Cricetulus griseus: one gene and its partner. The protein of the gene in region 2 purifies or fractionates together with the protein of the main gene of each other region. This does not show direct contact. Links are inferred from orthologs where the notes say so. Each region holds a gene or a part of one and is shown on either strand. Other genes may lie near its edges.

Region 1 (15,591 bases), on a different chromosome or scaffold from region 2:
TTCTTATCTCTGCTTCTGCATCCTCTTTTCCCCCTTATTTTGGTTTTTCTCTATGAAACAGTCCTGACTGTCCTGGAACTCACTCTGTAGACCAGGCTAGCCTTGAACTCACAGAGATCTGCCTGCCTCTGCCTCCTGAGTGCTGGGATTAAAGGCGTGTGACTCCACTGCCTGGACAGTTTTCTTAAGGCATGATCATGTTTAAATCTTTATTATCTCAGTCATCTCAGGAACCATCTTAAATAAATCTGCAACTATTCCATATATGCCATCTGGAAAATCAGCACTTCTGGGTCTTTGTTAATAGCTACAATTACCTTGTTGTCTAAATACTAGACGGCTCCAGACATCCTGACAGCAATATAAAGTTCCTGTCTGACCAAGCTGCATGCCATTAGGAACAAAGCCAGCATCAATAACAGCATGGGAAGCACCAACTGCACTATATAGCTGATTTGCAAATCATCTAACAATGTAAAACCCCAACCCCAGATACCATCACTCTGGCACCAGTTAGTTCTGGTTGATCACTCTCAATTTCTAGTCTAGCCACTCTCATACTCCTGCTGGCAAAGAACCTGGTGCCTTCTCTGAACTTGCACTATCTCCACTTGTTGCTGCAGCCTCAAAAGTCGTTCCCTGAAAGCCAGGTGGTGCTGGCACATACCTTTAATCCCAGTACTTCGGGAGGCAGAGGCAGGCGGATCTCTGTGAGTTTGAGGCCAGCCTGGTCTACAGAGCAAGCTCCAGGCCAGGCTCCAAAGATACAGGGGGAAAAAAAAAAGAATATGATCAAAACATATAGAATGAAGAAAATTAAATAAAATAAAAAAGGAAAATGTCATAATGAGACCCATCATTATATATACTTAATAAATGCATATATATATATATATATATATATATATATATTATATTTTTTTTTTTTCTTTTTCCCCTCGAGACAGTGTTTCTCTGTAGCTTTGGATGCTGTCCTTGAACTCACTCTGTAGACCAGGCTGGCCTCGAACTCAGAGATCCACCTGCCTCTGCCTCACAAGTGCTGGGATTAAAGGCATGCACCACCACCACCCGGCTTGCTAATAATTTTTTTAATTAAAGCTTCGTAGAGTGCTTACTTAAGTGTTCATGAAGCCCTGGATTTGATCCGTAACACTAAATAAAACTGAGTGTGGTAACAGGGGCCTATAATCCTAGCACTTGTGAGATGGAGCCACAAGGATCAAGAAGTTCAAGGTCAACCTCAACTATACACAATTTCAGGCCATCCTGTGCTATATAAAACTGTCTTAAAAAAAAAAAAGAAAAAAGACAGAAAATCTCAATTTTCAGTCATACCTGGCCTTGTAACTCTGGTCTCACAGGATATGCATTTGGGTATGGAGCCCTCGGTCGCACAGAATTCCAGTAGTTGGAATTATAGCCAGGGTATGGTGATTGTTCCTAAGGAAAAAGGGAAAACAAGTTAATTTTAAACAGCATTCTTCTTGTTGTTGATGCTTTCATTTCGAACAGTTTCCCTATTTATTTCCAGGTTGACCTCAAACTTGCAATCCTCCTGCCCCTAGCTAGAATTCCCAGTTAGAATTACAGGTGTGCATTACCACATTCAATTCACTCTGTTTTTAAATTTTGTTTTGTTTGAGACAGGGTTTCTTTGTTTAACAGCTCTGGCTGTCCTGGAACTCGTTCTTTAGACCATGCTGGCCTTGAACTCACGGAGATCCTCCTGCCTCTCTTTCTCTGCCTCCTCAATGCTAGAAATGGCGTGTACCAGTACTGCCTGGCCCAATTCACTCTTAATAACGAATGGTTAGATGGGAAAATGGATACCTCTAACAAGAGGCAAGATAATGGGAATCAAAAGGAACACCAGACAACAAAAGGAGCCCTACTATAAGGCCACTATAATTATTAAACTTAAAAAGATATAAGTACAAAGTATATCACATGCCCCAGAACAAAACAACTATTGAATAGCTGGTAAAAGACTGATCTTGGCCGGCCATTGTGGCACATGCCTTTAATCCTAGCACTCGGGAGGCAGAGGCAGGTGAATCTCTCTGAGTTCGAGGACAGCCTAGTCTACAGAGCAAGTTCCAGGGCAACCTCCAAAGCCACAGAGAAACCCAGTCTCGAAAAACAAAAAACAACAACACACAAAAGAAGAGTAATCTTATGCATTATCCACCATACAATGAAATGATAATAAAAGGGATTCTATGTCGAGATGGATAGCAAAACCATAGACAGTAATTTGCCTTCTCCCAATTCCAGTTGTCAGTACATGTTGAGTATACCCAATCTGAAAATCTGAAATCCAAACTGCCCTAATTCTGGATATTTTGAGCTTTGATATGGCATTCCAGGAGGAAAAAGTCACACTTGATCTCGGGTAATGAGCTGCAGTCAAATGCATGTAATGGACAGAGAGAGTGGCTCAGTGGTAGAGTCCTTATCAAGCTCATTCAAGGCTCTAGGTTCCATTCTCAGCACAGCAAAACAAACAAATAAATGCAGGGGTATTAAAATGTTGTACAGTTAGTTGCCTTTAAAGTTTACAAACATGTAAAAGTTGTACATTCTTGAATTTCATGTTTACATTTAGGTCCTGCCTTCAAAATAATTCATGATTTTTATGCAGGTATCTTCAAAAATCTGAAACCTGAAGTATTTCTGGTCCTAAATGTTTCAGGTATGAAATAGCCTGTTTAACATAGTTATTTGTCACTATTTAGGATAATACTTAACATAACAACGGTAGAATATGAAACTATTACTACTCAAGTTACTACACGTAAATACATCTTTTTTTTTTTTTTTTTTTTGTATTCTAGTGCTTTTTCCTATGGCTAAGCTTTCTGCTTACAACCTATAACTTCAGTACCATCAACTCATATAGAACAATCACCCTTGAAGGAGTAAGTCTAGCTGTGATGACATCTTTTCAGGCTGCGTCCTCAAATAAATTGCAATAAAGCCACTAAACTCTTGTAAGAATCCCCCAAACCAATTCTTAAACTTTTCCAAAGCACTGACTATCTAGTTTAACACATGATGTGTTTATTATTCAGTAAGGTGAGTTACTAGGCTTTGAACTTAAGAGTTTAAGTGTACTTTTGGCTCATAACAAACCATTTTTATTTCCTTTAAAGAAGAGGGTTTTGTCTGTTGGTTTTTGTGGTTTGTTGGTTATGCTGGATTAAACCTGGAATTATTGTGTATCTACACTCTTTCCCACGACTTTAAATCATGAGTAAAGACATGAGAAGACAAGGGCTGAAGCTGATTGCCCTAGGGGTGGTGGGGCCAAGTCTAAATCTTAAGAACTCCATCAAGGGACTGTCCTTCCAGTTGACTCTTTCAGGTTCAAATTTTACTACCAGTATCGTCCACACTATCCATTAGCTTTCTTCCTGACTCAGCTTCCTAACACCATATCCCTTGCTTTTCTTTCTTCAGATACCCACCTCACAAAAACCAAACCCTGTTGAAATGGAGTTATCCACTGTGTAGAGAAAACACAAGCAGCTCTCTAGTTTGTTTGTTTTTAGTTTGTCCTTTTTTACTTCCCATACTGGGGATTAAACCCAGAGTTTTAAGAAGCTAGGCAAGTATTCTATCAGTTTGGTACATCCTTAGCCATTTGTTATTTTACTTTAACATAGGGTTCTACAGAGTTGCCAGGCTGGTCTGAAAATTTCTAACCTTTCATCCTAAACTACCTCATGAGATGGGATTGCAGGCCTGGCCAAGCTCTCTTCTGTCTTCACTTTACACTATTGCTGTGTATCTCAAGAAGACACTCAGCACTGCTAACAATTACACAGACTACACAGTAGGCTTGCCCACACTCCACAACAATCTGAGTACATTTAATCAGGGTTGCTCCAATGAGCATGGATGAAGAGTTATTCACAGGAGCACAGACAGCATAACAGAGGCTACATCACTGAAGACTACCCAAACCCACCCCCAGCAACGATTAACTGTCAATGGTGCCTCTGGAAGGGGTGGGGCCTTGTCAGCCACTCTCTACTAGCATGTTTATGGCCTACAAATCCTCAGAAAGGTGGAGTCGCATGAGTCTCTCCTCCGTTACAGAGTGCTGCTAAGCCCAATATTGCGCAGGTAATCACAGCTACTGTGACTTCACCAATGCAACGATCATGTCACACCCAGAAGACAGTCTTCCCTAACAGCCCTCTCCTTTCTCTGGCTCTTAGTATTCCCATCCCCCACTTCCTTAATGTTCTTTGAGCCTTGGAAGGATAAAATATATGTCCCATTTAGGGCTGAGCATTCAACAGTCACATTTTTTTTCCAGCACATTAACCAGTTGTTAAGTCTCAGCACTAATCACCACCCACTATAACACACACATAAACCCTACCACCACCACTACCAACAACAGCAAACCTTTGACCAAACCTGAGAATAGCACTCATCTGTGAGCATCTGTAAACTTATGTTTACATAAGTAATTTGAAGGAAGATCTTTAGTGGGCACAATTTGTTCATTTAGCAAAACAGCAATTCTCTCCTGTAGTGGGACTCAAACACGAAGTGATTTGTTAACCCTATAACAGTCACACCACTATCACATAAGTGGGCACATTTTGGTAGGCAAGTTAGTGGTTTAGCATGGGTCCATATCTGGTTAAGACTGTTAGGATTTTTTTTTTCCCCCAAGATGCTTGCATAGCAACTCAAGGCATTATGAAAGTTAGCCAGCAGGGAGAAAGCTTCCAGCTCAGTTTCACTTTAATTTCTCTGTCCTGAAAACAACTCATTAAGTATCTTCAACAACAGGATTTTACCATCTAGCTCTGGTGGCCAACCAAGAGCAGTGGCAACAGAATAGAAAGAAATATTACAAACAACATGCATGTAAATACATCATATGTGTGTCTGGTGCCAGAAGGGGGCGACAGACCACCTGGAACTAGAGTTACAGACAGTTGTGAACTGTCATGTGAATGCTGAATTGAACCCAGGTCCTCTGGAAGAGTATCCAATGCTCATAACCATTGAGCTATCTCTCCAGCCCTAGAAGTTGCTCTCTCAAAAAAATGGATGAAAGCCTGGTGGTAGTGGCACAAGCCTTTAATTCCAGCTCTTAGGAGGCAGAAGTAGGCTAGTCTGAGTTCAAGACCAGCCTGGTCTACAAATCAAGTTCCAGGACAGCCAGAGCTACACAGAGAAACCCTGTCTCAAAACAAAACAAACAAACAATAAACCCCAAACCAAACCTGGTAAAAGTAGATTTCCAGTTTTCCTCTATACCATATTTAAATTTGTTAATTAAAAAAAAAAACAAAACAGGTAGGGTGGAGCTCACCTATACTACGAATTTGAGAGGTAGAGGCAAGAAGCTCAGAAATTCAAGATCATCCTTGGCTACATGGTGAGTTTGGGGCCAGCCTAAGATACAAGAGACCCATCTTGGAAAAATTAATGAGTAAAATCAAGTCTTTGTGTGTTCAGAGTAAGCTCCTCAACGTACTTGACCCTTTGCTGTGCACATGAATCAGTTGCAAGACTCTGCATTTCTAACAGCCTTGCAGTGATAGTAAAGGTTGCTACCCACAGATCACACTTTCTAGGTAGATTTTTAAAGTTTCCTGTAGGATTGCAGCTATAGGCAGGTCACTGATAAAAAATATGCCTAGAATATACAAGGCCCTGGGTACAAGTCTCACCATTAGGGGGAAAACAAAGAAAAAAATTCCTATACCCCTCTTTTCCGCATGTGAGGACACTGTACATGCATATTAAAGCCCGAGGCTGATTCCCTCAATTGCTCTTCTATCTCACTCAAAGAGGTGGGGTCTCTCAATCAAAAACCACAGCTCTCTGGCATTGCTAGCTAGTCTTGCCAGCCAGCTAGATCTAAGGATCCCAACTCTACCCTCTAAAGCTGGAATCACAGACAAGCCACCCAGCATTTACACGGGGTCTAGGGAGCCAATGCCCTGACTTCACATACAAGGCAAGCACCTTGGCCACAGAGCATTTCCCTAGTAGTGTTTTTGTTTGTTTGTTTGTTTGGTTTGGTTTTTTGTTTGTTTGTTTCTAAGATATATTATAAAATTTACTAAAATTCAATAAAGTTAGATTGTGGGTTTGAAAAAAAACGTACGTCTATGGCAACATGCATATCTTTGATTTGTTTTTTTTTGTTTGTTTTTTTGTTTTTTTTTTTTCTGGCTGTATAAGAAATTCTACCCTTTCATTGGGCATGGTGGCATATGCCTTTAATCCCAGCAGTCTGGAGGCCGAGGAAGAGGCAGGCAGACCCCTGAGTTTGAGGCCAGCCTAGTCTATAGAGTGAGTTCCAGGACAGTCAGGGCTACACAGAGAAACCCTATCTGGGGGGTGGGAGGAGAAGAAAAAGAAAAGAAATGAAATCCAATCCTTAACTTCTCAAGTTTCAGGATCATCACCCTGAAAAGTAAAGTTTAAAATGATTTATAAATGCCCATTATATGTTTCCAGTTCTATGTCAAACTATTCTAGCACCATAACCTACACTATTAGAACAGCTTTACTCCAACCAAACCTCACAACTCTCTACATGACACTGGAACTTTAACTTTTGCAAGTCTTTTTTCTATCTCTACTCCAGAAAACAGACTTAAGAGTTTGATAATATAGAAAACTCAATAGAAGTCAGTTGGCAGTTTAAAGATCACTCCTTTTCTTCATCAACTGATCTTTAATTTGGGCGAGTACTTCATCGCTAGACCATAAAAGTCCAACAGCCTACTTATTCCATCTTACTTATGGAATCAGCACAGAAAATATGGATTCTTCTTTACGTTAACCTCTTAGTACTGCATGTATTCATTCTTACACAAGTTTTAGAGAAATACTTAGTCCACCCTTTTAAAATGTACAATTCAGGGGTTTTTAAGGTACTCAAAACTGTGAAGCCCTTATCACTAACTTCAGAACACTAACACTTCAGAGGCCAGTTTTTCAATGCTTCCTTCCAGTCTCCAACTCCAGCAGCCACTAATGTTTCTGTCTCTAGGAACTTCTTACGGTGGCACTACATTTAAATGAAACTCAATCCTTGTGACTACCTTCACCCACCATGCATGATCTATTCAAGGTTCATCCACGTTGAAACAAATTGAATAGAGAATTCATTACTTTCTGGATGTTATGTTTTAGAACATATGCTATTGTATCCAGCCATTGGTAATCCAGCCATCAGTTGATAACTACATGAGTTTTTGGCCGTTGTGATTAATGATGCTATGAAGACATGTTAAACAACTTTTTAGGTGGACATGTCTTCCATTTCTTTTTTGTTTTTGTTTTTTGTTGTTTTCCATTTCTTGAGTATACTTAACAAGTGGATCTGCTAGATCACAAGCTAATTCTCTGCCACAAATTTTACAAACTACCCAGCTATTTCCCAAAGCACTGTAGTATTTTGCAATCCCATCATTAATGATTGGGAAATTTTATAGTTCATTTTCAGAAAATAAGGATGTTATGAAGGCCAAAGATGTGTGCCACCATCCTATACCATTTCTCCTTACAAGGAAAAAAATGGGAATACATTTTTGGCATGTATACAGGTAATAAAATGTTACAGGTCCAAATATATTAGGCAAGTTAATCTCCCAGAGCCGCCTTCTTTCACAAATGGGAAGCATTAATAACATCTGTCTTTCAGCCTTGTGGTGATTAAATAGAACATAAAGGTACTTTGCAACATTGATTATTCGTGATTCAATCCCAGGCAAAGATTTAGTGATAAGGGACTAAATGATGGATCCCCCCCCACCCCTCCCCCGCGGGAGGGGCTGCTGAGTAACGCCTGGGACTGCAGCTGCCCGAGCCACGCAGGATAAATTTTTACAGCCCAATCACCCTACATTACGCTCTCGGGAGACAGATTCCTGCAGCCTGCTACTAAGCTTAGGAAGTCAGCGCAGAATAATTTTTTTTTTTTTTTTTTTGGTGATAACTGGCACTCTTATGACGGCTGAAGTAAAAATGAAGGGACAAATGGAACACAAGCATCTATCCCCTCACTTACGTCTCCAGTCTCTTTCTCTGCACCTTCCCCAGAAGAAGAACAAATCAGAAACCCGAGTCGTAACAAACCCTAAGTATAAAACCCCCAATGGTCCTCACCTCCGCCCAAGACTTCCCTTCTGGGTCCCGGGAAAAGACTGCGAAGCTTACCTGGTGTGCGCCTCCGGCTCTGCTCGGCTCTGCCCAGGCGGCTCCGGAGGGGTAGTAGGCATCGCCACCTGCGCCTTCTCCGGGCCAGGTGGTCTCGGCCGGGGCGCCCCCGCGCCCTCGCCAGGAAACTGGAGGCTGGGGAGGCTCGGGCCGAAGAGGAGGGTATAAGGGCGGAGGTACGTGCACCGGGACATCGCCACCCCCGGGCCCATAGTAGCGGCCGTACGAAGGGCCGTCACTGGGGCCGTAGCCCGAGCGCCTCAGGGCCGACATGGGCTCCGCTGCCGCGAAGCGCTTCCCGCCCCCCACGGCCGGCCCATTGCGCAGGCGCCTGCGGGCGACAGGTACTGGCCGGCGGCGAAAGGGGTCGGACGGCTGCAGCCAATCCCGAGCAAGTCCCGCCCCTTGCACGCCGAGCGCCGAGCCTGGGATGGAGCGTACCCCTCACTCTGGGGCTCGGAGCAGGAAAGCGGAGAGACACGGTACTCGTGACGCGCGGGGGAAACGCCTGTCTCCCCGCCCTCCGTCCAGTCGATCTGGACTCCACTTCACTGCCCCGAGAGGAAGAGACGCTGCCCACCACCGCTCGCCCGGCACGCCTCTTTCTGTGGACGGACAGGCGATACCGGAAGTGGGTGGGGTAACTTGAAAGCGCTTCCGGCGACTAGCGGCAATTGAGTTGCAGGTGAGCGGCGGGTTCCCGTCCGTGTCCCGCCGACGGGCGACTGGATGCCCTCGCCCACCGTGGCTGTCCAGGGCAGCCTTGCCTGAGCTCAAAATGAACTATATGCCCGGCACCGCCAGCCTCATCGAGGACATCGACAGTGAGTACCTCTCCCCGGGGGAAGCCTGGTGTGGGACCTTTCCTCGAGAGGGCTCCCCTCGAGACGGAGCTTCGAGAGTGAGCCCTGGCCCCGGCGGGCTGGTCTGCCTTCACAGCCTCGGAGCCCATCCCTAACCTGCCTCCCCTGCCCCTGGACTGGGGACCCTCACCCTGTGGAACTCCTTCCGAGGGGCGCAGCATCCGACGTGCGAACTGTGAAGTGACCCAGGCGACTTCCTTCGTGTACCCTGCCTTTCCTGCAAGTTATACTTGACGGCAGATGGTTGAGTGCTTCTAGGAGGACCCACCAAAACCCGAAAATGTTAAGACGGCAGCAGTTGAATTTAATTAGCAGTCAGCGCAGGTTTTCTGTTGTGTAGCCCCTTGCAACCTTCTTTTTCTATGAGGGTCGTTAGCGCTTTCAGATTAAAGTGGGGCAGGTGTCAGCTGTAATAACTGACTTTTTTAGAAAGGCGAAGTCTCTTCAGACTTACTTTTTTTCTGTTCGACAGCTTTGCTTTTCCTGAAAATAGGTCAGTTCTGTATAAACCAAGAGGATACAATTTCTTTTAAGGATTTTTATTGTTTATATTTGCATGTCTTGCATGTACGTGCACCGTGTGCGTGCCTGGTATCCACGAAGTCAGATACCCTTTTCTTCATCAAATCCTCTGGAATTGGAGTTGTTTTTTGTTTGTTTGTTTGTTTTGAGACAGGGTTTCTCTGTGGCTTTGGGGGCTGTCCTGGAACACACTCTGTAGACCAGGCTGGTCTCCAACTCACAGAGATCTGCCTGCCTCTGCCTCCCAAGTGCTGGAATTAAAGACATACACCACCACTGCCCAACCTGGAACTGGAGTTAAGGACAGTTGAGAGCCACAGTGTGGGTGCTAGTAACCGAACTCATCCTCTGTAAGGGTAACATGTGCTCATTTGAGCCATCTCTCCAGCCCACACTTTAATTTTTACCCCTAAATTCTTACCTGGTTCCTCAAACAGCTTTTTCTTGTTGTTTTGTTTTTTTGAGACAGGATTTATCTGTAATATCACTGGCTATGCTGGAACTCCCTCTGTAGACCAGGCTAGCTGCCTCTGCCTCCCGAGTGCTGGGATTAAAGGTGTGCATCACCACTGTCCGGCCTTTCACACAGCATTTTAAAAGCAACATTAAAGAAAAAAAACAAGATGTATATGAGTATGTATGTCTGTGTACTCTGTGCTTGCCTGCTGCTGGGGAGACCAAAAGAGGAAGTAGCATCCCCTGGAACTAGAGTTATAGGGGTTGTGAGCCACCATGTGGGTGCTGGGAATTGAACCCGGGTCCTTTGTAAGAGCAGCCAGTGCTCTTAACCACTGAGCCCTCTCACCATCCCTCTATTGATTTCTTGGTCTCTCTAACACTAGTTCTTGCTAATTTCCTTATCTTTCTGGACATTACTGTTTTCTAGATCAGGTGGTCAGAGCTGCCTGTTTGGTCTGTTTTCTCTAAATCTGTAGGCATTATAGACCTATTTTAGCATCGTAACTCCTATTTTCCATGTACCAGTCTTCAGTGTTTTCTTATTCCTTTTGAAGTTAAAGCTTGCCTCTAATACTTTTCTGACTTTAACTCCTGTTCTTTCCTTTAACTTTGAGACAAATGTTAATATACTACTTTTCCTCTGTATGCTTTATTTATTAGATTTTTTTTTTCATTTTGCTTTCCCTTTTCATAGACAAAATTTATCCTTCTAGGTCCAACTGGGATAGGTGTAGTTTCTTTCTTAAGTAAGATTTGCTTGATTGTGATAATTAGTTGTAGCCTAATATGACTATAAATTCCTTAGGGAAGAATCATAGCTCCTCTCTTCATATAGAAAGTACTTTATGCTGGGCATTGGTGACTCACACCTTTAATCCCAGCACTCAGGAGTCAGAGGCAGCCGATCTCTGAATTTGAGACCAGCCTGGTCTACAGAATGACTTTCAGGACAGCCAGAACAAAAACCAACAAACAAAAGTACTTTATGCATAGCATTAAAGAAATGAGTGGTTAAAATCTTGTATGCTTTTCTAATATCTGGCTTATTCTAATCCTTTACTGTCACTCTAAAGTTATCTCTTCAGAGAGAGCTCCCCTCCACACTTGGTATAGCCACTTTGGTGTGTTCTTCATTCTACTATCATGCTGTCTTATATATTATTCTGTTGTATTTGTCACATGACGTAATTCTACCACTGAGTCTTTCCAACACTGATCTCATCTAAATCCCAGCCTGCCCTAGTCTTCCCTCCCAAGTCTTACAACGAACACCACCCTAAAAACATTAGAAGAGGGTCCAGCTTAAACAGCTAGTAACTAAATTTTTATTGTTACCATATAAGCTCACTGGAACTGTCGCTTTTGTTTTAAAGATCTTTTCTCCTTTCCCCAGAAAAGCACTTGGTCCTGCTACGAGATGGAAGGACACTTATAGGTTTTCTAAGAAGCATCGATCAGTTTGGTATGTATTGTTATGAACTCACCCTTTACTCAACATTGAATTTTTTTGGTGTCATTTTATATTCAAATTTACTCATCTTTTTACTCTTAACTTTTCCCCATGTGTCAGCAAAGTGAACTGAAACTGATTTTCACTAGTGTTTTTATTTCCCCATTAGAGGGAGCCAAATGACAGAAAAAAGGTTAGTCTTCAAATCATTTCCTGTGGTCATCCCTCCCTGTCCCCTGAAAATAGAGTAGAAGCCATTTCCTGAAACTGTTAAGGGGGAGGGGGACAATAAACTCAATAGTTTACATATACGAATATGTCAGATTTGGGAGTTAGTTTTCATTTTGTAGTCTGCATTTTCTGAAGTAAGAATCTTTGGTATGAGATGCTTCTGAGTTCACACTGAACATTTATAGGTCATCTGTTAGATCACCAGATTGGAATGTGAGGAAAAACTTAGCTAAACCACTGGAATTTAGAAAATAATAAACAGCCAGCCATGAGCCTTTGGAAACAGATCAAGAACAATCTCAAACCAAGACAATAAGATAACATCACAGGGCTAGAGAGATGGCTTAGGGGTTAGGAGCACTGACTGTTCTTCCAGAGGACCCAGGTTCAATTCCCAGCACCCACATGGCAGCTCACAACTATCTATAACTCCAGTTCCAGGGGATACAACACCCTCACACAGACATACATGCAGGCAAAATACCAATGTACATAACATAAAACAAAATTAAAAAAAGAATACAAACATCAATTTTTGTTTTACTTCAAGTAAAACAAGTAGTACTAATTGAAAGAAAAAATATTCCTACAGGTTATTGTTCTCAATCTTAAGTTAAATTCAACTGAGTGCTTTGAAGGGATAAATAGTGAATATTGAGATTACCAGGTATGTTTGTACTTACAAAAAAACAGTTTTAATCTTGGCAGTTGTCTAGGCTCAGGTTTTCAAGATTTCTATTTGTTTCTATCTTTCTAGAGATACTAGCAGTTAAATAATACAGAAGTAACTTACTCCTGCCTTCATTCATTCATTCATTAGCACAAATAATGGAAAATATTCTTTACTTGTTTGAATGTCTCCTAAAACTGAACATATGGTGGCTTTCTGCCTGTAATCACAGCGTGTATAAGAGATTGAGGCAGGAGAATCATCATAAATTTTGAGACAGCCTGAATTCCATCATGATTTCCAGGTCAAGTGAGGCTAGAATGAGATCCTTCCCTCCCCCCTCCCGCCAAAAAATAAAAATAAAACAAATTCTCCTAAATGGTTGGTTATAATCAGTGGAATTTAAAAATAACTAAATAATTGAATGTTTCTTCTCTGTGTACTTGTAGCTAACTTAGTGCTGCATCAAACTGTGGAGCGCATTCATGTGGGCAAAAAGTACGGTGATATTCCTCGAGGGATTTTTGTGGTCAGAGGAGAAAATGTGGTCCTACTAGGAGAAATAGTAAGTGAAAACTGTTAAGCTGCTGTGGATCTGGGCACTGATGCTAGCTGGCTTCTTCCCAAGTTCAACAGGCTTCTCACAAGAACCCACCAGTTAGGGAAGCTGTAGTTGCTAAAGCAACACTGCAAAAGGTAGTTAACATCATTCCATTGCCTTTTGCCTTTTTAAAAATTTGATCTTGCTAGCAAAATATTGTTGGCTTTAGCTGATAGAAAACAATATTTCTGGTGCTTGCTTTCATAGCACATATACTAATACTGGAGTAATAGAAAGATTAGCATGGCCCCTGTGAAAGCATGACACACAGATCTGTTAAGTGTTCCATGTTTTTTCATCTAGAAAGAAACAAACAGTATTTCCGGGTGTGGTGGCTCATGTCTGTAATCCCAGCAGTTGGGAAGTTATGGTAAATGGAACTCCTCTAGTTTGAAGCTAAGCTGTGCTACATGGTGAGTTCCAAGCCAACCTGGGCTCCAAAATAACACCCTCTTTTAAAAGAGCTAGGCAATGAAACATACCTTTAATCCCAGTACTTGGGAGGCAGAGGCAGGTGGCTCTCTGTGAGTTTAAGTCTACAGAGATAGTTCTAGGACAGCGGGGCTACACAAAGAAACCCTGTTTCAGACCCCACCCACCCCCCAAAAAAAGAATAAAACAAGAACAAATACACTGATCATTTGTATAGTTTTAAATAGTGTCTAATAACAAAAAGTTAGAAAATTTTAACGATATGTCCTGATTTATAAAAGTATAATTTAAAGCTGGAAGTATATCACAATGGTAAAAATCCTTGCCTCGCTCTGAAAATTTACATGTTTGGATATATTAATTATTTAAATAATTGGTTAGGAGTTGGAGAGATGACTTGGTGATTAAGAGCACATACTGTTCTCACTGAGAACCTGAGTTTGGTTCCCGGCTCACAACTGCTTATAACTCAAGCTCCAGGGGATACCAGAACACCTATGTTCATATGCACATGCTGTCCCCAACACATAAATAGTTTTAAAAAATAATAAGATTAAATAATTGGTTGCAAGTAGCTTTTCATGGCATGAAGTTAATTGGAAGCATTTAAGGAAAGTATCTTATAGACTTTTAAAGGGGAAAAAGGAAAATAATAGGTATAGGCAAAGCCAGTCTAAGGTTTCAGAGTGGATGACCAGAGAGCAGGGACCTGAATATTTGTGTCAGAAGGACCAGATAGTAAGTGAAATGTTAAATTACATCTCACTATGTGTATTTGTGTGTGTATACATTAGCAGATGATTATATGTATATGTGTTTTTTATATACATACATATGTTTGAAGTATTCAGATTTTTTTTTTTTTTTTTTTTTTTTTTTGTCAAATCTTACTGGGTTTGCTAGGAAAATCAAAGTCCCTGTGAGACTGGTTGAAATTCAGAATTGGGCAAGGGATGTTGCTTTGATAGCATGTATAGTACCACAACAGAAGATGGGGAAAGAAAGAAGGCGAGAGATGAAGAAATTAAAGACTGAAAACCTATTTTCAAGAAAATCCTGCATTTGATGTTTTCTTACTTGGTGTTTAGAGTTTCTCAGTGGTTAGCAAATATCTTCTGAGTAGAGCAGTTTAGTATGTAGTTATTTTTCTTTTAACAATAATTTGAGAAAATTCTGTCAGGGACAGTTTGATTGAGAGACTTCACGTTGGAAACAGCCTTAACTCAGCTGTGTAATGAGTTTAAAGTCAGCTTGGACTGCACCGGACCATCCCCAGCATAGGAGACTAGGAAAGTGGCTCACTGAGGAAATGTTTGCTGCACAAGCATGCAAACCTGAGTTTGCCTCCCAGGTACCTACATAACAACCAGGCATGGTGGTACAGGCTGTAACTCTAGCACTGGGAGGTGATAACAGGTAGATTCTGGGAGTTCAGAGGCTAGCCAGTCTAGCTGAAACCAAATCTTCCAGGTTCTCTGAGAGACTGAAAAAATAAGAGAGTGATAATGCACCCTATGTCAACCTCTGGCCTCCACGTACACATTCATACATAAACATGCACCTGTTTCCCGTACACTGCTGTGAAATGTATTCATGTCTCATTGTTTTTAAATATTTTCTTGTGATGGGGCTAGAAAGATGGCTCAGCAGTTAAGAGCACTGGCTGCTCTGGCAGAGCACTGGGTTCAGTTCCCAGCACCTACGTAGTGGCTTACAGCCATCTGTAACTTCCAAGAGCTCTGATGCCTTTTGTGGGCACTAGGCATGCACACAGTGTACATACATACATAGGTGTAAAGCATTCATACGTATTTTTTTTAAAAAATCTTCTTTAGCCGGGCGTTGGTGGCACACGCCTTTAATCCCAGCACTCGGGAGGCAGAGGCAGGTAGATCTGTGAGTTCGAGGCCAGCCTGGTCTACAGAGCAAGTGCTAGGATAGGCTCCAAAGCTACACAAAGAAACCCTGTCTCGGAAAAACAAACAAACAAACAAAAAAACTTCTTTAAGGGCTGGAGAGATGGCTCAGAGGTTAAGAGCACTTGGCTGCTCTTCCAGAGGTCCTGAGTTTAATTCCCAGCAACCACATGGTGGTTTATAACCATTTATAGTGAGATCTGGTGCCCTCTTCTGGTGTGTAGGATACATGTAAGCAAAAA
Region 2 (14,858 bases):
CTTGGGATAAGGAGCTCATGAAAGCCCAGATCTTGGGCCTGACACCTTGGTCTCAAGCCCTGGAATGGCATAGGTGTCAATGTGCTGTGTACACCAGACAGATGGTGGGAAGAAAGGAAAGCTCTCCCAAAGGAACTGGACCTGTTGGGTGGCTGGTAGGTGTACACAGTCGCTAGGCAGGCCACAGAGAAGGCCTGGATTTGTGTTGCTCAGTGTCTGTAAAGCTGGGCTCTCATTACCTCCAGTGTTACCCGACTCTCCCTGTATGGGAGCGGGGGTGGGAGCATAGAGGGGAGATCCACTTTGGCTTCTTCACGAATAATTAGGACTGTGCCCTTGGTCCTCACACTTCTGAGGAAAACTGTCAGATTGGCTCACAACCCCTTCTCTTGCCTATTTAGAACACCCCTTACTTCCGCTCTGCCATGTCCCTAGTCAAGTTGCCAGGCATTGAGTTCCATTCATTTCTATCTCCAGTAGCTCCGGGACTCAGCTGCATTCAGAGCTAGCTCAGCACACGCCCTGCCCCGCCATGCTGCCTTCCTGGCCCTTGGAGACCATTCATTACCTACAGCGATGTGCTTTCCCCTCCCTGTTGGTGTTTAAGACCACAGTCTGCACACACGGTTTTTATTTGTGTACTTTTCTTGGAGCCCTAAGCTGTTGGAAGACATTACTCAGAACTAAATTTGGTGAAAATCTGTCTGGATAAGCAAGGTTGGGTTAAACACACCGAGAGTCTGTAACCGCCCCTCTAGCTCCCTAATTGTAAGAGGGTTGGGGTGCCAAGCATTTGCAATCTGCAAGTCAAGTACTCCCCACTGCACTGGAGAGAGGCTTACCAATATGTGCAGCCAGCCAATGTCACATGACAAAGCATGGCTACAACCAGCTGGCTGCAAATGACAAATTAACCTTAACAATGACTCAATCCTCCAAAGCTGGGAAGCAAACCGACTCCTCCGAAAACAGGGAAAGAGGCCATGTCTAGATGAAGCAGACGTTATTTGAAGGGGGAACGGGTTCTTTGCTGCAAGTAGGAATGAGCAGCAGGTTTGTCCTCATGGCCTGCAGACCCCATTCTGGGGTCACCCTAGCACTCCTGTCAGGCTTGTCTTCTCTGCACTCCGGCTGGCTCATGGCTGAAGACAACAGGACCTGGGGCCGAGTGCTCATTTCTTATGTACGCTAGCCATCCTTAGCACCACATTCGGGGCTCAGGGAAGTGGCCTGCCATACGAAACTGGTGGTTTCTCTTTAACACCTATGAGAGAGAACAGGGCATGCTTAGACGCTCAGTGCTGGGGTTTCTTGAGGAGAGATGTTCTGTTTCCCATTTGTACCAACCTTGCTCAAGAGGAAACAGGGCCTGAAAGCAGAATGACACCAACAACTTATGCCTTTAGGGAACTCCAGCTTTGCCCTGGGCCTTTCTCTCTTTTTTAATGCTGTATTGTCTGTACTTTGTGTGCTGTATTTTTCTTTTTATGAATTAAATTTGTTTTTAGACAATTCTTATCATCCCTGTCAACATTCCCCCCCCCCCCGCCTCTAATCTGTGTTCCGGTTTATTTGTTTTGCTTTGTGACTCACTGACATCCCAGGGCCATCTGGGATGTCAGTGATGTGCCCATGGATCTGGAACTACCTGTTAGAATCCGGTGGGCTCAGCAATGGGTACACATCTAAAAATAACTAATGTGGTATCCCTCTCCCAGTCTACCAATCACAGCTGGTATTTCAGAGGTAAAGCGGAGGTCCTTGTGAGCTCCCCTCTTTGACTTGTTGATAGGGAAGTCTTGTGTGGGCCAGTATGGGTACCTACAGCTGTGACTGAATGACCGCAATTGTCATCAATCCAAATAGTGGCATTTTGTTGCCTTTTACTCTATTTTTTGGCCCTTACATACTTCTACCCTCTCTTCCACATGTCCCTTGAGCTTTATGGGTGATGGTATGTCTTGTCTGGAGCTACATATAGGCCTGGCTTTTGAAAGGGCTGGAAACAGCCGGTTGCAAGTGGCTAAGTAGCAGTAGGGCTGGCTGTCATGCTAGACAGTTCTTGAAGATGCAAACACAGGTTCTCTCCCACTGCAGTGGCCATCTTGTCTAGTTTAAGTGGGGAGATGGGGTGGCCTGTCTTCAGAATGTTTGGGACCTACATCTGCCTTCTCTGACCTACAGCTGCTTGCTGTGGTTTTGATTTGAAATGTCCCCCAAAGACCTATGTATTAAAGGCTTTGGTCCCCAATATGTGATGTTACTGGGAGGTAGTGGACAGTGTGAAGGAAGCGAGGCCTTTGGAAGCAGACCCTTGAAGGGAATGCTGGGACCCTGTTCCAGTTAAGGTTACTATTGCTATGATGAAACACCATGACCACAAGCAAGTTGGGAGGAACCAGTTTAATTGGCGTACATTTCCATATCATATAGTTCATCACTGAAGAAAGACAAGACAGCAACTCAAGCAGGGCAAGAATATGGGGCCGGATCTGATGCAGAGGCCATGGGGGGTGCTACTAACTGGCTTGTTCCCCATGGCTTACTCAGCCTGCTTCCTTACAGAACCCAGAACCACCAGCCCAGAGATGGCACCACCCACAATGGGCTGGGCTCTCCTCCATCAATCACTAATAAGAAAATGCTCTACAGGTTTGCCTATAACCCTATCTTACGGAGACATTTTCTCAATTGAGGTTTCCTCTTCTCCAATGACTCCAGTTTGTGTCAAGTTGACATAAATCCAACCAGCACAGACCTCCTTTTTCTTCCTCTTTGCTTCCTGGCTGCCACAAGACAAACAGCTTTGTTCCACCATGGCTTTCTGCCTCACATAAACAGATCCCACATTAATAAAGCCAGCCGACCACACACTAAAAATCCTTGGGATCTGTACCAAAGTAAAACATTTATTCATTGAGCGGATTCATCACAGGGTTGTTGTCACAACGATGGGAACTTAACATAGAACTTTACCTGCAAGTCAGGGGCAGGCACAGGATTACAGTGACATCACTGTGGCAGCCCATGAATTCCTTCATAAAGAAGGGGCATGGCTGCTTCCACTGCATCCATAAAGTAGGGGGTGCATAGCAAGGTGGCCCTCAGGCATATACTGTCAGGGCACTGGCTGGAAGCCTCCCACCCCAGAAGCTGTGGCTCATTCCCAATGGCTGGCAGGCAGTCCTGGACCATAACAGTTTAGTCTTCTGGACTCTGTGAGGTCTCTCAATTCATAATAAGGTGTCTCATAAAGAGACTTGTCCAAGGGCTGAAGGCAGGGCCAGGAGACTCCACTCATGCTCCACCTTCTACTCCCATCCACCTGATTCCCTTGGCTCTGCAAGGTGACACTCACCACCCTGGATGAAGCTGCCTTTAGGCACAGTACTCCAGGCTCTACCTGAAATTCCAGGCTAAACTGCTGCTGGGGCAGAGATCTTGAAATGGAAGCTGAATGTGAGTTCAGGAGGATCATGGGAAGAGGAAATGCTAATTCACATAGGAAGTTCAGTCCTGGGTGCCTAGAAAACCCTTCTGATCCCTCCTGTGTCCATGTGTCCTCAAAGCTCTGTAGAAGGCAACCCTCACCTGCTGAGGTAAGGAGGTAAGCACCCATCCTGACTGTCCTGCAGGTGGCATCTTTGGTCTAAAGGAATCGACTTGTTGTTTACTACAGTGGACAATGGAGAACCTGCCATTCTGTCAAAACAGATCACTGTAGCATTGGCCTAAAAAGGCTGCATGTCCTCTGACCTCCCATCCTGCCTTGCTCTGTTGGGCGGCAGCTGCTGCTGCTACTGCTACAGTTTTGCTTATTCATGTGAAGAAAGGGAAACTATTTTATGAAATAAAGCTATTCATTGAAACAAACATATGAGAAACGTTAAGAATGGAATTCATCTTGCCCTGGCTACAGATGCATCTTTAAACATGCAGTTAGAGAGCTTTTAAATGTCTTCCACTATTTTATTTTATTTATCACCAAACCACATTTTAAAAAACTGGTCACTGGCTAAATAACATTTTTTAAGTGCTAGGCATTTGACCCAGAACCTTATATAGGCAAGTGCCCTATCAGGGAGGTACATTGCCAATCTAATATTGCTCCAATTTTAATAGACATGTTACCAGCGTGATGCTGTTTTTACTGATTTAGGACCATAGAACCATGGATGTCTCTCTTGCTTCATTCTCCTTGTAAGACTACAGAGATGTGTATAATTACTGTTGAATATTTGAGAGACTTATATGGGCTCATAGCAGAGTTGGGTGGTATGGGAGACATCCCTTCCAGAGGCTGATACAGTAGATGCAGGGCAAGGCACAGGGCACAGTGAGGACGGACGAGCAGAGCTCAGTTCCTCTTCAGCCCTCCGTTCTGCCTCAGGGGAAAGCACACCTGTCCTCATACAGGTCAGGTGGTGCTCCTCCTGCTGCTGCGATGGATGGGCAGAGCCCAAAGCTGTAAGGAAATCCCATCCCACCTGGGCCTCCATTTTAAATTCTCCTTAAAAAGAATAAGATTCTTCTAGAAAGCTCTAGGCCAAAGACCCTTTTATGATTCAGGAATTACTAAGACGCTAAAATCATGAAGCTTTATTCTTTGCGCATCCGCACGCAGCAGGGTCAATTTCCATGTGTGCCCTTTGGGGACTGCAAGGCTCTTCTGCCTCCCTCTAGGTTTATGCTCCAGGTCTCTTTGCACATGGCCCAGCAACAGGACTGCTGCAGGGCCTGGAGAATCTTTGAACTTCTGCCCCTGAATAGCCACTACCTAGTCTCATGCTACCTCCCCTTCAGCATATTTTCTAAATGTGAGTGTCTGTTGAAAGCAAGACCAGGCTGGTCCTACTGTGTGTGTGTCCCAAGAAGTAACCTGAATTAGGGAATGTGAGTGTTGCTGCAAGTCTTGGGCCACTGTTGACACCTTCTAGATAGAAACTGGCTAGATATACCTTCAGAAAGATTCTCTCCCCAGAGGCTCAGATCAAACATGCCAAATGGAGCTTTACAAATGAAAGTCTGACTTTGTTAACAATCACCATTGCTTCCAAGAGCTCAGGAAACCTTTAGTAGGTAACTTGTGGGGTAACATTGCCCCCTGGTGGTTATCAAGCACCATGGCGCACAGAGCCCAACACTAGGAAATTGCTCTCTTTAGCTTGAGCTATTAATAAACAGCTCTGAGAACATCCCCTCCTATGAAGAGCCCAATTCTTAAAATGGCCTTATAAATGTAGGAAAAATTTAATTTTATATGACCTGAACGCAAACCATCTACCCACTCAATTAGTATGCAGGAGAATTTGATTCTTCAAAAACAAGAACAAGAACAACAACAAAACCCCAAGATATTGGACAGTACAAAACCACTTTACTTTGTATTATTATACTTTGTTAAAAAGGCAGGAATGTGTTTGGTCACACAGTTCACAGGAAGGACCTGGAAAATCAATTCTCAGTCTTTGTTCTCACGTAGTTGGTTAAGTGGCTTTTCTCATGGCTGCTTGTGTCACACTGAAGAGATAGGCTTCATAGATTATGCTTAAGAAGCTGTCATCATTCTGGAAAACAAAGCCAACAGGCCCAGGGGACCGTCACTTGAGTAGCAGAAGTCAAGGCTTCCTGCCTGGACTGAGCTGACCTTGGGTTCAGTGCCTTAACTTTGCTGTCTGTGCTGACAGCAGGGTTGGCCGGTGTGTGTGGACGTAAAGGGGCTGGAGGCAAGGTTGGGACAGAGCTGCTGGATTTAACAGTCTGTATGTGAAGACCATGTGCTCATAGCACCCGACACAGATAGCAACCCCGCCACGCGGAAGCCAGCTGTGCTGTGTGCCGGATGGGCCAGAAGGTATGAGTCACAGTCCCTTGGCAACAGCCTAGGAGTTGGCTGGTCCTTCCTAAAAATCCTCCAGGTTGCCCACAATGTCTGCACTGTTGGGGGCATTCACAGGGATTTTACCCACAGATTGGCTTATTGGTACCTTCACAAAGGCAGCATGGTTGTTCCCATGACCTGTGGGAAGTCTCTGGTTTTGGCAAATGTACAGTGGTAGATAGGTAGTCTCTGAGCCTCTGTCTCACTAAGGAGGGGAGAGAACTCTGGGTCTAAGCAGTAGTTCTCTTGATTAATGCTAGAGGCATTCCCCTCCCACTCAAATCCAACAGTTTCTGTAGTCACTACATTTCACCTTCCTGATTTACTCCCTCCCCATACCACAGTTAGCGCCATTCTCACGCCACGAAGAAAGAGATGTTATTTCTGCTTTTCCTACAAAGATGCCCAAGTGACTTTTAGCAAATATATCAGGAAGATGAAATCCACAACACGTAGAAGTGTGAACCATCTAAGTCACAACATATACCCTTAGGGTAATGTGATGAGAATTGGAATGAGCCATAAAAAGCAAGCATCTTTAAAAATCTAAACTTAGGTTTAGTTTTTTCTTCATTGTTCTGGTAAATAAATGTGCAGATATTTGTTTTAAATTCTCACAAACTCATTGGGAGCAGGTGGGCTATATTTCTATCATGGTGCATATATTTAAGATTAGTGACATAATTAAAACAGGAAGGCTCCACATCCTGGACTGCCATTCAGATGTTTGCTGTCAGTCCCATCCTTTTCATTCTCTCTAAGACAACTTTATCTTAGAAATGTTTTCACTAATAGGGACTAGACATCGGCAGAAGAACCAGACAACCACAGAGGCTGGCCTGCTCTCCTGCTGCTGGGTCCGGGGAGGAACAGAGTGCTACAAACACTTTCAAGAAGATTCCTGAACACGTTAGTGGAGGTGTCTGCTTCTGTGTGGTTTCAAGCACTACCCTTTCCAGGGCTTGTCACTCACTTGGGAGTGTGCTCAGATACATGGTGCTCTAGTCTTGACACATTAATCTACATGGTCCACACAACAGGAGACATGAACACTGCAACCAGGCTCAGTGTAACACCAGACCAACACAAGCCTCAATTTCCCTGTAGAATCAGACAAATACAAGGCTCTAATTGTTTTTATACGTGTGTGTGTGTGTGTGTGTGTGTGTGTGTGTGTGTGTGTGTGTGTGTGTGTGTATGTGTGTGTAGATGTGTGTGTAGGTATGGATATGCCACAACACACACGTGGTCAGAAGACTGGGGCATCAGGCTTGGTGGCAAGCCCCTTTACCTGATTTCATTGGCTCATATTAATAGGTTTTCCTATAGGCACTGAATGAATTATTAAACAGTGCATGGCACACTGTACGGTAGGCGCTACTACCACAGTATAGCCGAGACACTCAAGGCAGGGCTGACAAGGCGCCCTATCATTCCACCCTCTCCTGAACAGTAGGTTTCAAAACCATAGCTGAACTATGTTCATAGCAGTCACAGCCGGTGCGGCCTACAACTGTAGCTTGCCCAAGATGGCTGGCTCTGTGACTGCTCCCAACAGTGAGCTCCCGGAGTGCCTTGACTAGCCAACCATCACACACTCCCTTTCCTGCAGCTGGCACAAATCTCTTGAAGGCCTGAGATATCTCAGGCCATAGTAGTATTCTAAATATCACACAGTTAATTGTATTTAGAAGCTATTGGAGGTGGGGGTTACTCTTATGGCATCCAAAGAAGGCATCAGCAAATATAGTCTGCCATGGTGCCCACCAGTAGGTCGACAGTCTTACCTGGATGAGGTTCAGCAGTGCTTCCTGGAGCTGCAGCCTGGTGAGGGGCCTGCTGGCCATGGTGGAGGATTCCCAGTTCTGCAGGGGCAGAAGAAGGCTGGAGGAGGCAGCAGCAAGTTCTTGGCCTCCTAGGGGCATGAGCCCATTATCAGTCTCCCTCAGTGGGGCACAGGTGAACTGTGTGAAAACCACAGGGGGCATCAGCAGAGAAGCCACTGGAGCAGGGACACACTGAGATGAGGTGATCTGCTCACAGCAAAGACACGCACACAAGGCAGGGTAAGGAAACAACCCACGACAGAGCTCCAGAGATTCAAGGCCCTGTTCACAATGGTGGTAGAGGGGCTCAGTGGGAATCACCCCGGCTCAGTGGGTGGGAACGGCTGACAGGTCTGTTCCTGTTCCACTCTTGGGGGTGGGGGTACTACACAGCTCTGGAACCATCTGTGATGCCATGACCTCTGTGTATGAAGCTAGACCGCTGGTGAGTTTAGTTTTCAGGCAACATGCATTTAGGATTGCTGGATTACTCAGCACTAGCTGTCCACTGCCCTGCCCTGAGGTCCTGTCACTGGTGGGAGTGGCAGGATATGCTCGTCAGATGCTCACACAGCTCCCAGCCCTGGCTCTTCAAGGAGACACCTCTCCTGTGACTAGGAGGAGCAGTTATTTGTAGATTTGCCCCCTCTGGTCCTTCTTTGTTTATCTACAAGCATGCCTCCTGCTTCTCCTGGCTGGTGTGGGGGTGGGGACAGGGTGACCATGAGGATGATGGGCAGATAATGGGATGAAGAACAAGGAATGGACACAGGATCCTGGAGCACCATCACTATCTGTCTGCCAAGTCTAATTCCCTTGACTGGCAGGTCTAAAACCAAGTTTTCAATGGCTTTCCCAATTATGCAAGTGACATTCTGAACCGGGTCTGACTGACTCCTACAGCTACCATGTGTCTCTAACTCAGATGATGAAGGTACCTTACTTCTCAGCCTCAGAGTGTTCCAGCACTCATGAGAAGGAAGCTGAGAAACAGCAATTTAGGCATGGCTGTAATTTTATCATCACTCCCTTGGCATCTTTGGGGGCAGAAAGTGGCCTACAGGGAGACAGGATCTTGTTTCGTTTAGCTTTCCCTATTTGCCAGCCCAAAGAGAGGAGTTGAGAGCTGATGCTCCCAAAGGGAGGAGTCACAGCATCATGGGGGAGCACACGTGGGCTGATGGGTACACGTTCCTTATTTGGTTCCTGACATTTGTGAGAACTAAAAACAAAGAGAATTGTATATGCAGAGATCTGAGTCTGATTATTAGCCCTGATTTTCTTATTCTAAACCATCAAAGACAAATGAAAGCAGACATTTAGTAAGGGGCCAGTACTCTGCACTGCAGTGAGAGTGAGGACAAAGCCTCTGTTTGCAACAGGAAGCACCTGCAGTTGTGATTTAATAAAAACAAACACCTTGACTTGGTCCACACACCTAAACATCAAGGTTTGTGCCCTGGGCCTTTGTTTTAAAAATGTGAACAATTTCTGAGGAGCTACTATGTGATAAAACATGTCAAAAAGACCAACATATATATATATATATATATATATATATATATATATAATCTATCTATCTATCTATCTATCTATCTATCTATCTATCTATCTATCTATCTATCTATCCCTGGCTTCTGACGACCCAGTTGCTGATGGGTACAGACACCTATCCTTCAAGAAAGATCCGTTATTTCTAGAACTGACACTCCGTTCCCTGCTCTGGCAGTTTGTGGGTGGTACACTTGTGTCTGATGGATTTTCACAATACTGATCACCTAGAAGGCAATAAAAACAGCAGCATCTTTACTGCCGTGTCTGTTTACTTTAGGAACCTACAGGGTTGTTGGCTGCGAGATGCAGAGTCTGCTTTCTCCACAACTGTGTAAAGTGGCTACTAACATGTAGGAAGCACTCAAAGTCATACGTGGAGCCAACGAACAAGCAATAATCAACCATAGGATGAAAGCCAAGAATCTGCCAGATGTTTCCATCCCAAAACTGCCATGGGTCTTCAGAGTCAAAGACTAGTTGTTTTTCCACATCTGGGCTGGTCTTCGGGCCTTAGGACATGGTAAAGATTTAACTTTACAAACCACCTCTAACTGGCAGAGGACATCAGACTGTAAGCAGACAGGAGCTTCTCTTTCTAGGCAGAAAGGCAAGGTGAAAGACAAAGAGACACACTGGGGGGGGGGGTTTGGGTGGCTGGTCTAAGTGGAAACCCACGTGACACAGGTTCCCGGTAGCAGAGCCAATCCCACTGCATTACGATAGCAGCCATCTCCCAGTATATATTTACCTGAGGAAGAGGAGCTTGTTTCTCCATGCTGGCTGTCTTGTTGGCCCAGGCTTCCAAGGGCTTTTCTGTCCCCGAGCCATGGGCTGACACGGGGAACCTGGCTGCTAAGGCTGGCCGTGGGGCCGCCTGCAGCTGCTGCCCCTGATGTACTACCTGGAGCTTTCTCAGCAGCTCCTGAGTAGGAAGCACACTGGGGCTGCTCTCCTGGTGGCTGGAGAGGGACAGCGCTTGTGCTGGCAGTGCACACTGCTCCTTCCTGAGAGTCTGATGTCCTGGTGTGGGAGGAGGAAGGGGGCCACTGAAATACACCAGCTGTGAGTGAGCCACGCTTTGGCACGGAGCCAGCTGAGTGGCCACAGCTGGGCTGGCAGGTGCACAGGGCTTAAACTTATGTGCTGCCCCAGAAGCACCTTGAAGTTGCTCTAGCAGCTTGTGGCTTCTGCAAGTGCTCTGTGCACAGTGTGCAGTCCCACCGTTCCAGGGTGACCCCAGGTGGACAGGACCAGGGAGAACTCCCCTTGCATGACTGGGGCTGCCACTTTCACAGGGCCACTGTTGAGGGTGCTGTGGCAGCGGGTGCAGCCCCGTGCTCCCGACCATGAGTTTCTGAATGGCTGGACATAGTTGCTTCTCCACGGGGAGTGAGAGCCTTCTGGGATTGTCATAGGACAGGGGGCATGCAACTCCTTGATGAATGGGAAGCTGCTCTTGCTGTTGGTGGTGGTGGTGGTGGTGGTGATGGTGGTGGGTGAATGTCCCAGAGGGTTTCAGAGTTTCATGACATGGAGCTTTGTCTTGTTTCCCAAATAGAGCTGTCAAAGATAAGTGTTGGGGCTCAGGGTCCGAGGTCTGGGGGTGGAAAAAGATATCCAAAAATAGGTTCACATAGTTTGGTTATGGGAGGGAGAGGCTGTGAAGCATAACTCAGCTAACTGTTGGTTTCCTCTGTTTACAAAGGATCAATGACCGAGGTGAAATTTATTAACTCGAAAAGTTCGATACCTCTGAAATGTCTAATATCTTTACAGCATTCTCCCCTCTCTGTCCCCAAGGCTTTTGTTAGACCACAGTATCTGGTCATTTGATATTTGAATGTAATCCTTGAGGGGTCTGCAGCTCACAGATTAGGGGACAAAACTACACTCTATAGTATAAAATGGCCGGTACTTCATGGTAACCCATCTCTATAGCCAGGGCCCATCTAGGGTTGCTGAGAACAACTAGAATGTACTAGAAATAAGCAGGATGTAAGAGCTCCAGGTTCCTGGCAGCTTTCACGGCATTGTAGAGAGCTAAGGCTAGAAAGAAATAAGTATTTTAATCTAGCATGCAAAGACCAGGTGTATATGATGCCGTGGCCTGGCCACTACACCACTCCTGCCCTCCTTGCCCCTGAGCCAGCCCTCTTTCCCCACCTTCTGCTTGAAAACATAAGCTCCATTCTAACGTCAATGTGTCTTGGTTTATCTACTGAAATGAAATAGATTCTCATGGAAAATACGAAAAGCTAAAATAACTTAGAAAACATTTCTTTTTTTGAAAAATTCAAAACAAGACTTTCATTAGTCAAGTCATTTTATGTCTTTGGCTCATGCTCACTTTCAGAACTGATTTAAACTAATTCCTTGAAAGCCACCTCTTTACTTAGGAATAATAACTCTGATGAAGGAACAGACATGTTCCCTTACAATCAACAATGGGCCTTGCTAATTAGCAAATTTTGTCTCTGCTGTACTGTTCTGAATAGCACACAACACACATACCGCCCCAGGTCTGTGGGGCTTTGACTACTCTCTGGCCCAAAGCTAATCCACAGCAGGGACTCCATGCTGCACACCCAGTGCCTGGCATAGTATAGGCTTAGTATAGGGTGGTGCTCAGAAATGTTACATTTTATTGTGCTGCCATGGTGACTGCTCCGCCAGTGGCCTGAGAAGCCACCTATCCCAGAAGAATACGGACCCAGAGGTTTATGCTTCTGCCTTGCCTGACACCTGCTGTTTTAACAATATACGATCTTCTAAGGGGTCTCAGCTCACGAGCCACGAGCCCATCATGTGGTAAATCCAACAGTCCCCGAGGAAGGGCACCGGTGCTGCATAGTTAGTTCATGCACAGAGCAACAAGACCCTGCCTTTCTCCACTGATCTTCCGTGTCCCTCAGCAATGCCAGGCCTTCTCCTGCAGTACGTGGGTCAAGCTCTTTGAGAATCCCAGAGAGGCCACAGATAAAAATCCCCCGGTTTCTGTAATTACTCCAGGTTATATACTCAGATTGGGAGATCTGGAGCCAGGAGCCTCAGATGAGAGAGAACATACGACATTTGTCTTTCTGAGTCTGAGTTACCTCACTTCAATATTATCTTTTCTAGGTTTACACATTTACTTCAAATTTTCATGATTTCAGTTCTCTTTACAGCTGGACAGTATTCCATTGCATATGTGCACCACATTTTCATACCCACCCATGAGCTGAAGGACATTTAGGATGTTTCTATTTCCTAGCTATTGTGAATAGCGTGGCATGACACCAACCGAAGGCAAGCTGACCTGAAAGGGGCGACCTCATGCGGCCTCACTCCTAGACAAAGAACTCCAGTCAGTTAAGGAAAGCTGAGAGTTGGAGACACTGTCTCCCCCACCAAAGAGCACACTAACTGCCTATCCAATACCAAATGGTCAGCACTAGAAACATGTACATACGAGTAACACTGTACACATATATATGACAAATAACCTGGACTGAACAGGTTGTATTAATATAGTTAGGGATATGTAATATCTAGGAATTAAAGAAATGGAGGTCATTAATTTGAGAGAAGGCAAAGGGAATTTACAAGGGAAGGGTTGGCGGGAGGAAAGGGGGAGACATTGTAATTACATTTTAATTCCAAAACCTGAAAAATATGTTTTTTCTTTTAAAAACAAAACAAAAAGGCAGAAGACGCATACCTTGTTGGGCGGGGGTTCTTGTAGCCTGTGGCTACTACTGGGTCTCACCGGGACAGGTTTGATAAGCTTAGGGTTGTCACAAATGGCGGAAGAACTGGTTATCTGTTTTGGCTCAGAACAGGTTTTACACTGGAATGGAAAAAACACAGATACTTCGTTTTTGATGGAAATAAAAGAAGCTTGAGTGTTTTTATACCCCTTCTTGCTTATCTAATTGGTAGATAAGCAAGCAATTTTAAAAATTGGCTATTTTTAAAATAAGTTTTTATGCATGAAGGATAATCTCTTCTACTTTTCTGATAGGAACTGCATTTGGGTAGAAGTCAACTACAAACTTATTTTTTTGTGTGTGTAACTCAGTACCCTAAAATATTACTACCTAACATCAGCTAGCCCCAAGGACCCACATGCTCTTGGATACTTGGAAGGCTATGTATGCATTTACTTAAGAAGAAACCGTTTAAAACAACCAATCTAATAAGTTTCAATGGTAAACAATCACAGAAATAATATAGAGTAGAGTACTGGGAGCTGCTAAAAATATTTAACCCAAATTTGGCCCACAAACTAAAAAGTAATGCTGTCTCAAACCACTGATTTAAAAATTGCTAACACCATTTTTATTAATAGATGACTTCTTGCATAAACAGGATAATTTAAATGAAGTGTTCTGAGCCACTTACAACAAATTAGAATTTCATAAACAGACGAAGCAAGCCTCATCATTTCAAATACTGACTCATTATCACCTGTTAATCTAACCAACCATGCAATTGCTAACAGTAGGATTCATAACAAAAGCGCCTGACAATAATGCTGTGATTTATTTTGTTAAAACATCAAAGAAAACAATACAACAGGACCTTCCAGGCTGCAGACTCTTTTGGAGCATTTGCTTCAGCTGCCCAGCTAATGCCTCATGCCTGAAAACAGTCACCACATCTGACAAGGCACGAGTGACAGGCACCATCTCATCTCTGCAACCCCAAAGTTCTCAAGGGGTTTTCCAGCTACTGGGGCATATTCTCTTATTCTAGCACATGGGCTTTGGGTTGGTTGTCACTGTGTGCACCTGTCTTTTAGATCAACCACACAAAAGTCTAACTGTATTTTCCAAGAGTTCTGTCAATTCTTTGGCCATTAGGCATTAGTACTGAATAGTGTGTGGAATTGCTTTTCAGTCATAAAATGTTATTTTTGTGTTCATATCAAGTGAGTGACAGTAATGGGTAGTGTCACTGCATGGGTTGACTGCTGTCTTCCTTACAGCAGGGCAGACAAGGCAAGGCAAGGCAAGGTAAGGCAAGGCAAGGCAAAAACACATAAGACCCTGACTTATAAAGTGATGGCTAGAGGAGTTGTTAGCCCCTGTTGCCACTTACAAGGAGGTGGTGTTAATTCTACAGAATGATTTTCTTTTAAACAAAGAAAACTGACATTCCCCCACCTTTCCTATGCTTTGAGGTAGCTTTGCCTCCTATTATACATCACTCCTTAGATATTTTTTTCCCTTTTCTTTTTTAGACAGGTTTCAGACCATCCTGGATTAAGTAGTAAGACTTATCTCAAAAACACAAAGCATGAGCCCCAACAACACAGCTCAGTGGGTAAGGGCACCTGCCACCAAGCCTCATGACCTGAGTTTGATCCTTGGAACCCATATGGTGGAAGGACAGAACCGACTTTCACAAGTTGTCCTCTTCTGACCTTCACATATGTGCTGTGGTACCCCTCCCCAATGAATAAATAAAAGGTAATAAAAATTGTAAGCCAAAACAAAAAGCATAAAAGTAGACTTGAACAAACCTAAGTGTATGCCCTGTTCTTAGCTAAAGACTAAGAAGACTGAATGTAAAGTTGTCAGTTCTCCTTTAGTCTATAAGTCCGAGGTTATTTC

The links.
Region 1: the proteins of Dcp1b (region 2) and Bag4 purify together in Homo sapiens (affinity purification with mass spectrometry; 3 studies listed by BioGRID and IntAct, counting the BioPlex papers as one, with this or other methods). This does not show direct contact. The link is inferred for Cricetulus griseus from reciprocal best matches to the Homo sapiens genes DCP1B and BAG4.

What each region holds. Positions count from the first base shown.
Region 1 is NW_023276807.1:57,992,452-58,008,042, reverse strand, and holds the start of Bag4 (BAG family molecular chaperone regulator 4), read right to left. Parts: upstream 8,538-15,591; 5' UTR 8,479-8,537; coding exon 8,206-8,478; intron 1,444-8,205; coding exon 1,339-1,443; intron 1-1,338. Other genes in the region: U6 snRNA-associated Sm-like protein LSm1, read left to right, coding at 8,984-9,029, 11,443-11,511, 12,850-12,965. UniProt on the Homo sapiens protein: Inhibits the chaperone activity of HSP70/HSC70 by promoting substrate release. Prevents constitutive TNFRSF1A signaling. Negative regulator of PRKN translocation to damaged mitochondria.
Region 2 is NC_048601.1:25,655,973-25,670,830, forward strand, and holds the end of Dcp1b (mRNA-decapping enzyme 1B), read right to left. Parts: intron 13,091-14,858; coding exon 12,962-13,090; intron 10,859-12,961; coding exon 10,010-10,858; intron 7,846-10,009; coding exon 7,669-7,845; intron 5,568-7,668; coding exon 5,487-5,567; 3' UTR 5,356-5,486; downstream 1-5,355. UniProt on the Homo sapiens protein: May play a role in the degradation of mRNAs, both in normal mRNA turnover and in nonsense-mediated mRNA decay. May remove the 7-methyl guanine cap structure from mRNA molecules, yielding a 5'-phosphorylated mRNA fragment and 7m-GDP.